Linked DNA regions of Sus scrofa. The main gene of each other region encodes a partner of the protein of the gene in region 3 in a complex. Links are inferred from orthologs where the notes say so. Each region holds a gene or a part of one and is shown on either strand. Other genes may lie near its edges. The genes, in order: SPG7, PPIF and VDAC1.

What was found.
Region 1: VDAC1 (region 3) and SPG7 share a complex: the UniProt entries of both Homo sapiens proteins name them as parts of the mitochondrial permeability transition pore complex. The link is inferred for Sus scrofa from reciprocal best matches to the Homo sapiens genes VDAC1 and SPG7.
Region 2: VDAC1 (region 3) and PPIF share a complex: the UniProt entries of both Homo sapiens proteins name them as parts of the mitochondrial permeability transition pore complex. The link is inferred for Sus scrofa from reciprocal best matches to the Homo sapiens genes VDAC1 and PPIF.

The regions. Positions count from the first base shown.
Region 1 is NC_010448.4:422,200-425,730, reverse strand, and holds part of SPG7 (paraplegin), read left to right. Parts: intron 1-3,265; coding exon 3,266-3,390; intron 3,391-3,531. UniProt on the Homo sapiens protein: Catalytic component of the m-AAA protease, a protease that plays a key role in proteostasis of inner mitochondrial membrane proteins, and which is essential for axonal and neuron development.
Region 2 is NC_010456.5:81,673,421-81,677,502, reverse strand, and holds the start of PPIF (peptidyl-prolyl cis-trans isomerase F, mitochondrial), read right to left. Parts: upstream 2,832-4,082; 5' UTR 2,735-2,831; coding exon 2,540-2,734; intron 1,280-2,539; coding exon 1,249-1,279; intron 765-1,248; coding exon 676-764; intron 1-675. UniProt on the Homo sapiens protein: PPIase that catalyzes the cis-trans isomerization of proline imidic peptide bonds in oligopeptides and may therefore assist protein folding. Involved in regulation of the mitochondrial permeability transition pore (mPTP).
Region 3 is NC_010444.4:136,317,794-136,321,980, forward strand, and holds the start of VDAC1 (voltage-dependent anion-selective channel protein 1), read right to left. Parts: upstream 2,816-4,187; coding exon 2,749-2,815; intron 2,222-2,748; coding exon 2,172-2,221; intron 1,059-2,171; coding exon 906-1,058; intron 818-905; coding exon 765-817; intron 1-764. UniProt on the Homo sapiens protein: Non-selective voltage-gated ion channel that mediates the transport of anions and cations through the mitochondrion outer membrane and plasma membrane.

The DNA.
Region 1 (3,531 bases), on a different chromosome or scaffold from region 3:
AAGCTCTGCAGTTGGACAGCGACGTCTCACAAGCCGAGGAAAGGGCTGCTCCTCGTCCTGAGAGCGGTTGACGTCTGGGGCCCTGGAGACCTTCCAGGGACCCGCTCATCCGCGTGTCCATCAGGACAGCGCAGGACGTGGCTCCCAGGCCACTTGAAAGAGCCGGGGCACGAAGACCGAGCTTCCTCAGGGCCCGATCCCGACGGCTCGGTGTCTTCAGACCTGAGCCGAGGCTCTGGAGTCGCACCAGGGGGCCTGCGGGGCGCCTCCCGGGCCAGGTCCCGGCCCCTCAGCCGCGGCCGCCCCCGGCTCTGCTTTTCCACCAGCGCCCAGAGCGCCTGGTCTGAAGAGTGAACCCCGGAGCCGCCACGTCTGACAAGCACGCTCCTGGCAGGGCCGCGTGGGCTGAACCACGGCTGCTCTCTTTGAACACCGGGTGACCGTCTTGATGCCGAGGGACTGGCGGGAGGGTGTGGCCTCCTCGCATTGGTCGTGCAGACGTCTCATCCAGCGCTGCCCAGGGTGCACGGGGGGCTCTCCACCCTGATTCTCTGAGCCGGGGTTTCTGCACCGGGAAGGGAGGCTGACGGGTGCGGCCTTGCGTGTGGTTGTGACCTTGCGTGTGTGTGACGGCGGAGGCTTGCTGGTGGCTCCGCTGCAGGCGGGCACCCAGGCCACGGGAGCGTCACCCTGTCTCTGCTGCTGTTGCTTCTGCCTCGAAGACAGACGTGCGCCTCGGGGAGCATTTCCCACGTGGCGCCTGCTCTGCCTGCGCCCTGCTGCCCTGGGCAGAGCTTCTGCTGTGCCACCGCTTCGGCCCCCACGACCTGCCCGGGAGCCCGCGGAGCAGCCTGTAACCCAGGGAGTGGGGTCATGGGAGAGCCTGTGGGAGCCTCCCAGTCACTCGGAGCCACAGGCCGCCTGGCCAGGGTCCCAGGTCGGTGGGCGCAGAAGTGGCTCTGTGCTGGGTTCTGCATCCACCCTCTGTTTTGCCAAGTTGGGCGGCGTGAGTGCATCAGAGCCCAGAGGCCTGGCCAGCAAGGACCGCTGCGCGCCCAGGGACGGTGTCTCGTGCTGGCCTCTGGCGGGAAGAGACCAGGGGGTCTCACCTGCTGCACTGAGGGTCAGCGCCTCTGCAGTGAGATGAGGGAGAGGCAACCCCTTCACCAGGCCTGTGGCCGCGGTAGGTGAGTTTGTGTGTAAGGCGTGCGGTCTGGTCGTCACTTTTGGTCTGGTTGAGCCTGGGATTAGAACACTGTCCTCCCCTGAACTCACCGTCACGGAGCCTCGGCCAGGCACCTCCGGACAGTCTGCCCTCGCACACGCCCCACGGCCCTCATCGCGTAGCCGCGGGCGGGGGCCGAGCTCTGTTCTTGACCAGAACCGTAGCTGCTTGCTTTGCCTTTTCATGTAATTTTAGAATCAGCCTGTCCGTATCTGCCAAGGACTCTTGCTGAGGTTTTGATAGAAACACACCCCTGGCCGCGCTGTGTCAGATGTGGTGGGAACGCCGGGTGAGCTGCCGGCCGTGTGAAGAAATTGGACCCTGATGTGAGCGAGGCAGCTGCAAAAACACGCCTGTGTGCGGCAGAAGCAGCCCTGACCTTGTGGTGGGGACAGTGTGCGGCCTCTTGGAGCAGCCCTGACCCCTGTCCGCAAACACGTGTACCCTGCCGGGCACAACCTGTAATCGCTGAAGACTCGACACCCGCTGTCCTCAGAGCGTGTGTGGTTAAGTCCCATGCTCTTACCGAGAAGCTGGCAGCTGGGACACACGACTGGGTGGCTGGAACAGGCCAACCTGAGAGATGGCAGATCGGAGGATTCGATTGGTGGGGAAATGGTCAGAATGACAGACCTCGAGGGTGGAGGGCAGGTGGCGGCCGTGTAGGGAGGTCTCCGTGGGGGTGGCATTCGTCCCCGGGGGACAGAGGGGACGGGGTATGGGGCTGGCAGTTACTGAATAGGCTGGTTTCTTTGCACCTTGTGGTGTGTCTGCAACCGCGTAAGTTCTGGGACGAGACCCTGTAGTTCACTTGCTTCACCCAGAGGGCGGAGCCCTTCTGCGGGAGGCCCCGGGGCTGTGCCCGCAGCCCCGTGACGCGGGCGCCCCTGCCCAGCCGCTCTCTCCTCCCGTACCCGTTATTCCTGCTGTTCCTCCACGTTAATACAGCGGCAGGATTCTGTCCACAGCTCCCGCCTGTGGAAGGCGGGCTTTGCAGGAGTGCGGGGGGAGCCCGCTTGGCTTCCTAGCAGGGTTGCCCCTCTGGCCCCGGAGCCTGTCTGTCCAGGACTCTCCCTCTGGCCACACATCCTGTCTGTTGACACTTGTTCGCCTCAGTTTCTTCCAGATTAATTTTATAAATCTCTAGTGGGAGAGGTCACAGCATCTCTGTCTTTTAAACTTTGTATTCTGGAACTTTTCAAATACCCATCAAAGCAGAGGCGAGTGGGCGTCGAGCCCCGTGTCCCCTGCAGCGGGCGCATACTCAGCCAGTCCCCCCCGCCCCCGGCCCCCGCGCGTGTCCCGTTGTATGGCAGACCGAGTGTTCTGGATCGTGGGTGCTCTGTGTGCCTTTCTTTAGGTCTGGAGCACTGCTGCGGGCACCGCCGCGTGTGTTCCTACTCGTGCCCAGCACCTGTCAGGCTCACACCTGGCTCTGCGCCCCAGTGATGGTTCTGGACTTGCTTTCAAATCCTTGTGAGAGGAAGTTCCTGTTGTGGCTCCGCAGTAACGAACCCGGCGAGCATCCATGAGGATGCAGTTCAGTCCCTGCCTCGCTCAGTGGGTTAAGGATCTGGCGTCGCCGTGAGCTGTGGTGTGGGGCGCAGACGCAGCAGCTGCAGCTCTGATTCAACCCCTAGCCTGGCACCTTCATACACCTCAGGGGCGGCCCTGCAGCAGAAATCCTCACGCGAGAAACCTGGGCGGGAAACGCGGGGCCCTGAGCCAGTGCTGAAGGCAGTGCCCCCGCCCCCGTGGCGACCCGTGTCCCCTCGTCCCCTCGTCCCTCCCCCAGGTCACTGTCTTGACGTGGGGGTGGAGCTGGGTTCTGAGCTGCAGCTCTGCCCCTGGGCTCTGGCCTGGGAGCTAAGGGGTGGCTCGTAGGGGGTTTTGGTGGTCGAGCCTCGAGGCGGGTCCACGTTGCTGCCTTCAGAATGATGGTGCTGGTGCCCCGTCTCTCCAGCCGCGGGTCCTTGGAGGGTGTCCCCAGGGAAGCCGCTCGGTTGAGAGCACCCCCAACACCCCTGTCTGTCCATCTAGGAATGGGCACCACCGACCACGTCATTGTCCTGGCGTCCACCAACCGAGCTGACATTCTGGACGCCGCTCTGCTGCGGCCAGGCCGACTGGACCGGCACGTGTTCATCGACCTCCCTACGCTGCAGGTGGTGCGGCCTGGCTGCCCTCTGGCCCACACGTCCCCGCGGGGCTGGTCTGTCCGGGCCTCGGCTCCCTGCCCGCCTGGTTTTGACCCCCGTGGTTTCCTCTTGATCCTCAAAGGTCTGCGCTGAGCCCGGGCGCAGTCT
Region 2 (4,082 bases), on a different chromosome or scaffold from region 3:
TAGCTCCTGTCTTAGCTGGACCTGACCTAACTCAGGACAACCCCCAGCATAGCTTGGCTCCTGGCCCTTGGGAAAGTTCTTGCTGTCGACATCTACCCTCAAAACCTCTGACACAGCAGCTTTTTAAAAATGCTTTGGAAAAGAGGCAGAACACATGATGAAAAAACATACTCGTTTAACTGAGACAGATGCCCTTATCTGAAAAGAGGCTTCAAGTACAGACCTGTGTGTTCTTGTCTGTGCTGGGTCTTTCTCCCTCTTCCACCTCCTCCTTTTCCCCTATGCCAAGTGCTCGTTGGGATACGGGCAGAGACTGCTTCAGTAGTCCGCCAAAGCCTTCAGATCTACCCCTGAGCACATCCACACCCCAATGCTGGTTCTCCCTCCATTGCTCAACTCTCCTGACTGCGTAAGGTAGGGCCATCCTGCCGTTTGCCCCGTCCTGCCGCTTGCCCTGTTGCTCAACTCCTGGGGCAGGGAAGTTTTCTACATCAGCCAGGACAAGCTCCAGTGAGAGGCCAGGCTGAGAGAGTGATGGCAGTTGCCTTCCATTCAGACTTTCCAGGCACCAGGTGTGTGCACCCTGGTTACTCCCCATGACAATCTTCCGAGGCGACCCCATCTCTATCCCCACTTACAGAAGAGGAACCGAAGGCAGGGAGAGATCTGAGATACCTGGCACATGAAGGATGGAATGACTCTGTGAAACGTGGAGCCTTTGTAGCCGAAGCCCTTCTCCCCGGTGCACAGGGCTCTGAAGTTCTCTGAGGGTTGGAGAAAGAGGCAGATCAGTAGCGCCAGGCCTTAACCCAGGGGCTACAATGCTTCCAGCCAGAGCACTCTTTACCCTCCCACCCCAGGAGGTAAGCAGGGTATGGAAAGCCCTGCAACCTGGGTCTGCTCTAGCTGGGTGACCTTGTACCCTGACCTCAATGTCCGAGCACCATGGCAAGAGCTAAGGCTCCTGGATGTTCCAGCACCAGGTCAGCGGGGCAGGGAGCCCAAGGGCTATGAAGCCATCATACTGACCCACTGGAGGAAGTTGTCCCAGAGGAAATGCACATATTTCTTCTACTGATTCTGAGGCTACTACCAGATAGGTGGGCAAGGCCAACTCTGAGGCTCAGAGGGCCAGAAGGCTACCCCAGGGTACCCATCTGGTCACAGATCTCATGCCCCAACTCCTCTAGCCATCCCACCCTCTCTTGCATCCAGACCAGACTCAGAAGGGCCCAGGCCCTGCCTTACCTGCTGTCTTTGGGACGACATCTGCCTTCAGCTGTGGGGAGAGAAAGAGGGCAGGACATCAGTCCAGAGGCAGGTGAAGGAAGGACCCAACTCCCACGGAGGCCCAGGAAAGACAAAGAGAGCACCATTCCTGTCACTCCCAGCCCTCTGTCACTCCCAGCCCTCCGTGGGAAGCCACTGTGGCTATCACTTCTGCCAGCTGCTTCCTCAACCCAGGGCTGGCAGGAGGCAGCCTCGATTTCCTAACCTGTCAGAAGAGATGACAACACCATCTTGGCCTGCTTCTAGAGGCAGACCTAGCAGAGCTACTTCAGCTGGGCCCAAAGCATCAGAGACTCAGGGCCTGGAGAGAGGGCCCCCCAAGCTCCTCAATGGGCAGATGGGAAACTGAGGCTCAGAGAGAGGCAGGAGGCTGGTGGAAAGGGGGGAGGCCGGAGCCCCATTCAAGCCAGCCTCTTGCTTCCCAGCTTCAAGAGCTGCCCTGGTGCCAAACCTTTAAAATAAATGGGTGCTTTCCATTTTCCGGAAGAAGAAACAGAGGCTTGAGGCGCCTGTGTTCAAAAGCAGGCCAGGCTCAAGAACTACACAGGAGCGTTCCCTCTGTTACCTTCCAGACTACATATTTGTTCCCTGCTTTAAAAAAAAAAAAAAAAAAGGCCCAAAGAGTCAGGGGCAGGCACTAAGCGTTACCCTGGGAAGGTGACAGGTTGGCGTTGGGGCAAAGAGTTCTGAACACAGGGTCCCGACTCCTGGGGCCGCGGCCGGCCCAGCCAGCACCCACCAGGAGAGGAGGCGGCCCCAAAGCACCTTTGCTCAACCATGCGCCCCATGGCAGGAGCAGGGCCGGGGACGCTCCATCTTATGCAAGGGCCGCCACGTGAGCGCACAGCGGGTCAGCCGCCTGGATCCTGGAGAGCCTGCCCCCTCCACCCCGACACCCACCTCAGAGCTCTGGGCCTGCGCTCCCACCCCGTGAGATCTCGGAGCCCTTCCCCAAACTCGGAGCCGGCCTGCCGGGACAGGCCCTCCTGCCTACATTCTGACCTTGAGCTTTCTCCTCCACGGGCGCCCTCCCCCACCTTCCCCCCGCCCCACTTCCATTGGTCTAAAGATCCGAGGGGAGGCCCGGAGAGACCAATCTGATGCCTCTTCTTAGAGATGGGGAAACTGAGGCCCAGAGCAGGAAGCAAGGTCACACAGCGAGCCAGACACAGCGCCGGCCCGGAGTCCAGGGCTCTTCCGGGACCGTCCCTCACTCTCAGTCCAGCGCGGTCCTGTCCAGTGGTCTCACCTCCAGAACCACGCGGCCCAGCGGCTGCCCGTCCGCGCCCACGTCCAGGTACACAAGCGGGTTCCTGGCGGAAGAGGACGGGTCACCGGAGTCGCCGCCGCTGCTGCAGGCGCGGGTTGCGGAGAGGCGCAGCGGCGCGGAGCGCGGGCCGGAGAGCAGACGGAGCAAGCGGGGACTGCTGCGCAGCGCCAGCATGGTGAGCGCGGGTCGGAGTGCAAGAGCTCCAGGACAAGCGGAGACTACAGCAAAGAGAACCACGCACGCCCAGAGCGGCCGAGTCAGCTGGGACCGCGCGCCGCCGCCTTTATTGGCTCAGGCGGCCTCTGGGCCCCGCCTCCGCCACGCCCCCTTCAGCCTGTCCGCTCTTGTCCTCTGCCGGCCCCAGCGGGAAGCACAGCGGCTAGCCTAAAATCCTTTAAATACACCCACACCAGGGCTAGAGACCTGAGAGTTAGACACGACCTTGCAAAAGGAGGCCGGTGACATTTTGTGAGGGTCCCAATAGATAGGAAAAAAAAAAAAAAAAAGCGGGCGGGGGGGATCCTAAAAAGTGGCTAACTCCAAAATGCGAGTACTGTGTTTTCATTTGAATATAACAAAAGTCTACATTTGAGCCTTTTGTATAGGCAGCCCCTCCTGCCATAGGCCCCGCGAACAGGTACAGACCAAGAGAAAAGGTGGCACTGAGTGTCAATCAAAGAAAGTTGGAGATGAGATGCGGGATTAGAGTGAGAAGTGGCAGGAGGAGATCAAGACACCTCCCATGGTGACCTCAGGCATTCCTGTCCTAGCCCGGGCTTGTCTCCAAATGCTTCTAGAAACCAGTCCCCCCTCTAGACTCAGCCTGAGCCTGTCATGCTCCCACCAGGCCCCCAGTCCTCCACCAGGACTGGGTCTGAATCTCCCCCTCCCCAACCCCACAGACTGACAGCCCTAGTTCCCAGCAACCAGGGTTCCCCTTCTACCCCCACTCACTGAGAAACTGCTCCTGCAGGTAACATAGCACAGGGGCCAATCCATAAGAGGTGCAAGGAAGAGAGGAAAGGTAAGACGGGAAGAGGAGGGGAACTGGGTGTGAGCTACCACTGTGCAGATTTACCCCACAAGCTGAGGTGGGCTTCACTGGAGCCTGGGGGGCATGGGAAGCCTACAGGAAATGAGTGACAGGCAGGGGTCCTGAGAGAGCATCTGAGCCAACACCTACACTTTCCAGATGAACAACTGAGGCCCAGAGACAGGAAGGTGCTGCCCAGAAGTAGGGGAACCATGAAGTCCCCACTGCCAGCCTGTACCGGTCCTCCCAGACTCCTCTCTCTGGGCCTCAGTTTCTCCTCTGCAGAATAGGTGTGATGTTAATTCCTACCCCACTTGTTTTCCAGGTCTGTTCCAAGGATAAAAAGAACAAGACAGAGAGAACTTGGTCAACTGCTAAGTACTGTGCTGTAAGCATCAGTGATAGTCAGAGTCTATACTTTGCCCAGGGTTTGGGGCTCAGATAGCAGTGGGCCACAGCTGCAGTGGCTCAGAGTTTTGAAGAGCTAGA
Region 3 (4,187 bases):
ACCTACACTGTTGCTCATGGCAACACTGGATTCTTCACCCACTGAGCAAGGCCAAGGATCGAACCTGCATCCTCATGGATGTTAGTCAGATTCGTTAGCCACTGAGCCACAACGGGAACTCCCCGCCTTTCCTCCTGATAACCAACAAGTCTGATCTGTGTGTGGCCCCAGGGCCTGGAGCAAAAAAAGGCAGCCTCTGGAGCCACCTTGTAGTTAAGACCACATGCTCTCAGTGTCCCTAAGTAAGAAGGTGGGGAAAGGGCCATCAAGCCTAAGAAAGGGGGCTGGCCACAGGGACCCATTAGCCCCTGCTTCCCAGCGCCACCCCCTGGCCTTGGCTACTCACATTACCAGCAGCCTCAGTCCCAGGGAATGCAGCATTCCTGGACCAGAAATCCTGCAGCCTCCAAGCTGAGGCCAGCAGAACAATCACAGCACAGAATCTCACTATAAAACACAGCTAGGAATTCCCATCGTGGCGCAGTGGTTAACAAATCCGACTAGGAACCATGAGGTGAACTCAGTGGCTTAAGGATCCGGCGATGCCATGAGCTGTGGTCTAGGTCGCAGACACGGCTCGGATCCCACGTGGCTGTGGCCCTGGCGCAGGCCAGTGGCTACAGCTCCGATTCGACCCCTAGCCTGGGAACCTCTATATGCCACGGGTGTGGCCCTAGAAATGGCAAAGAAAAATAAAGAAATTAAATTAAATAAAAAAAGACACGGCTAGCTGTCCTTAGGGAGACGGTGGATGAGATTCTTACCCAGTGTTCGGTGAGAAGGATGAATCAAAGGTCAGCTTCAGTCCACGGGCAAGCTGAACAGAGAAGAAATTCGCCAGCAGGGTTAGTCACGAGACGGGCCGGCAGCCGCCCCTCAGTCACACCGCGTCTTTGGCGAGTTACCTGATCTTCCACGGTAATCTCCGTGCCCAGGGTGTTGTCGGTGTTCCACTTCTCTGTAAACGTCAGACCATATTCGGTCCATCTGTACTTGGTTTCCAGACTGCCCGTCACTTTGGTGGTCTCCGTGTTGGCTGAACCTGAGCTTGTAAATTCCTTTAAAAAAAAGAAAGAGGGTCACGGCCTGCATGCCAACGCTTCATTCTGCATCACGCCCCCCCTAAATGTTGGGAGCCCCGCAGCAAGTCCACGCCACCCCTACGTGGCCTCTGTTCTCCTTTAAGCAAGAGGTGACACCTTGCATGCGTGCAGGAAAAGCCTCACTCGATAATTCAATGAGATATTTCAAGTACAGATGGAGCCGGCTAATGAAAGGAATCTTACAGGGAATTCTTTTACTGGCCGTGCCCGAGGCATGCGAAAGTTCCCAGGCCAGGGACTGAACCGGTGCCACAGCAGTGGCCCGGAGCTGCTGCAGTGACAATGCCACATCCTTAACCTACTGCGCCACAAGGGAACTCCACTACAGAGAATTCTTTATCAGGACACGGCTTCCTTCCTCCCCTGTTAACGCTTCAGTCTGGACAGGAAGGCAATCCTTCCATCCCGCCTCCAGCCTAGAGAGAAAAAGCTTTTGAGCTAAAGCTGACGTGGCAGGAATTCAACCCGAAGTATCCTTCTTCGAACAATTACCACATGTACAATCTAAAAGAGACTAAGGTTTTTGTTTTAGGCATTCCCTTTGCGGCTCAGCAGTAATGAATCCGACTAGGAACCATAAGGTTGCAGGTTTGATCCCTGGCCTGGCTCAGTGGGTTAAGGATCCGGCGTTGCCGTGAGCTGTGGTGCAGGTTGCAGATGCCGCTCGGATCTGGCGTTGCTGTGGCTGTGGTGTAGGCCAGCAGCTACAACTCCAATTGGACCCCTAGCCTGGGAACTTCCATATGCCGTGGGTGTGGCCCTAAAAAAAAGCAAAAAAAGATTTTAAGTAATCACATGGTATGGAACAGAGGCTGATTCTGAAATAAGACGCATAAGGAAAAATAAAACTGAAGCCTGCCCCATATTCCTACTAGAATCCAGCTGAAGAAGTGGGGACCTGGTCACATGGTTCCCCTGGACCACAAATCCTACAAAGGATGCAATGCAAAGGACAGCTACAAGCTGCCACAATCAGAAGAGTCCCTTTGTTGGTCACCCCGAAGGAAGTTATTTTTTATATACTGATCTGCATAAATACCCATGCTCCGCGTGGGCCAGACAACTTACCAGTCCATTCTCAGATTTTGTTTTCAAATCAAGTTTTATTAGGCCAAATCCTAAAGAGAGGAGATGGTAGCTATTAGCAGGTTAAATAACTCACTCGAAAACAGCATCCCCGCCTCCCTCGGTCTGCTTTAACACGCTCTGAGTGTGAGGGCACCAGTCACCACTGCTGCGTGTGTTGGGGGGGGGCTGGTTGCCATGGAACCGTGGCCGACAGAACAGGCCCAGGCCCCACCTGCACGCCCAGCGGAGTCTGAGAAGAAGGTGCATGACCGCGTGGGCACATGTCTAAGGACAAGCTAAATTTAGAAGCTGCAATCCACTGCAGCGGCAGCCACAGACCTGCTCCCTGCCTGCGAGAGGAAACAAGAACGCCCGCTTGTTGGCAGCAATGTGCAAGCCCACCTGCACTGGGTGCACAACCACAACTGCTCGGCCAGCCGTAGAAGGCTTATCTTTTTTTCCCTGACATGAAAGGTCTGAGAGCGAGCTGACCCCAGTCTCTCAAACTCTGATGGGCAAAATCCCAAACATGCCACCCCCGCCTCCGAGCTGGAAGGCCACTCCGTGCGACACTCACCATAGCCCTTGGTGAAGACATCCCTGGCAGACTTGCCAAGATCGGCATACGTAGGAGGCACAGCCATCTTCTGCTGCCAGAAAAAAACCACCAAAATAAACACATTGGTAATTTCGGCTATGAGTTTCCACCAATAAAAATCATCAGCACTGAGTTCCCCCAGTGGCAGGCGGAGAGGCCTGTGCTGGCTGCTGCTTCTTTTTGTGACCAGAGCTTAAAATGCCCAATAAGTTTTATTGAGAGCAAACCAGCCTGACTTTTGGGGTTTGGGTTTTTGGTTTTTTTTTTTCTAGTTTTTTTGTTTGTTTGTTTGCTTTTTAGGGGCACACCGGCAGCATATGGAGGTTCCCAGGCTAGGGGTCTAATCGGAGCTGTAGCCCCCAGCCTACACCAGAGCCACAGCAATGCCAGATCTGAGCCACATCTGTGACCTACACCACAGCTCACGGCAACGCCGGATCCTTAACCCACTGAGTGAGGCCAGGGATCGAACCTGCATCCTCCTGGATGGTAGTCAGTTTCGTGAACCGCTGAGCCACAGCGGGAACGCCCAGCCTGACTTTGGACCTCTTCTCCTAGGCATCCCTGGGACTGAGCACAGGCCCAGAAGACGGGAGGAGTCAGGCAACATCAGCTAAATGAATTCACTGTCAAAGATGCATTCCCAGAAGGCAGCTACTTCACTCGACGGCAGGACTCTTGCCAATATAACGTATCTTCTTACAAAATATCGACTGCCAGGACATTAATACAACAAATAGAAATCAGAGCTTTTCAGAACAACTGATTTTCCCTAAGATTCGAATTTCATTCATTCAACAAATATTTATGGAGTCCCTACTGCGAGTCAGAATGGACCCAAATTACCCCAAAACTTGCATTTTACAGGAATCAACAGGGATATCATATTCTGCACTGAGAAAACAAACAAACAAAAAAAAAAACTGGAGTTCCTGTCCCAGCTTAGCAGTAACAAACCTGACCAGGATCCATGAGGACATGGGTTCGATCCCTGGCCTTGCTCAGTGGGTTAAGGATCTGGCGTTGCCGTGAGCCGTGGTGTGGGTCGCAGATACTGCTCGGATCCCACATTGCTGTGGCTGTGACGTAGGCCAGCAGCTGCAGCTCCAATTGGACCCCTAGCCTGGGCACTTCCATATGCCGTGGGTGTGGCCTTAAAAAGCAAAAAAAGAAAAAAACCAACAATAAAACCTAAGTAGGCAACTCTTCATAGGGAAGGAAATGCAACCACATCCCCCTCAAATTTGATTCAAACAAAAATTTATTGAATTCCATGATGACTTCATTTTTAAAACCAATTATCAAAGTACTACTTGGGATTATTGTATATCATTAAGCCAGTCAACAAGCATTTATTAAACACCTCGGTGTTCAAGAAAGACAAGAACTTCACTATTTTTTCGTTTTTTTGTTTTGTC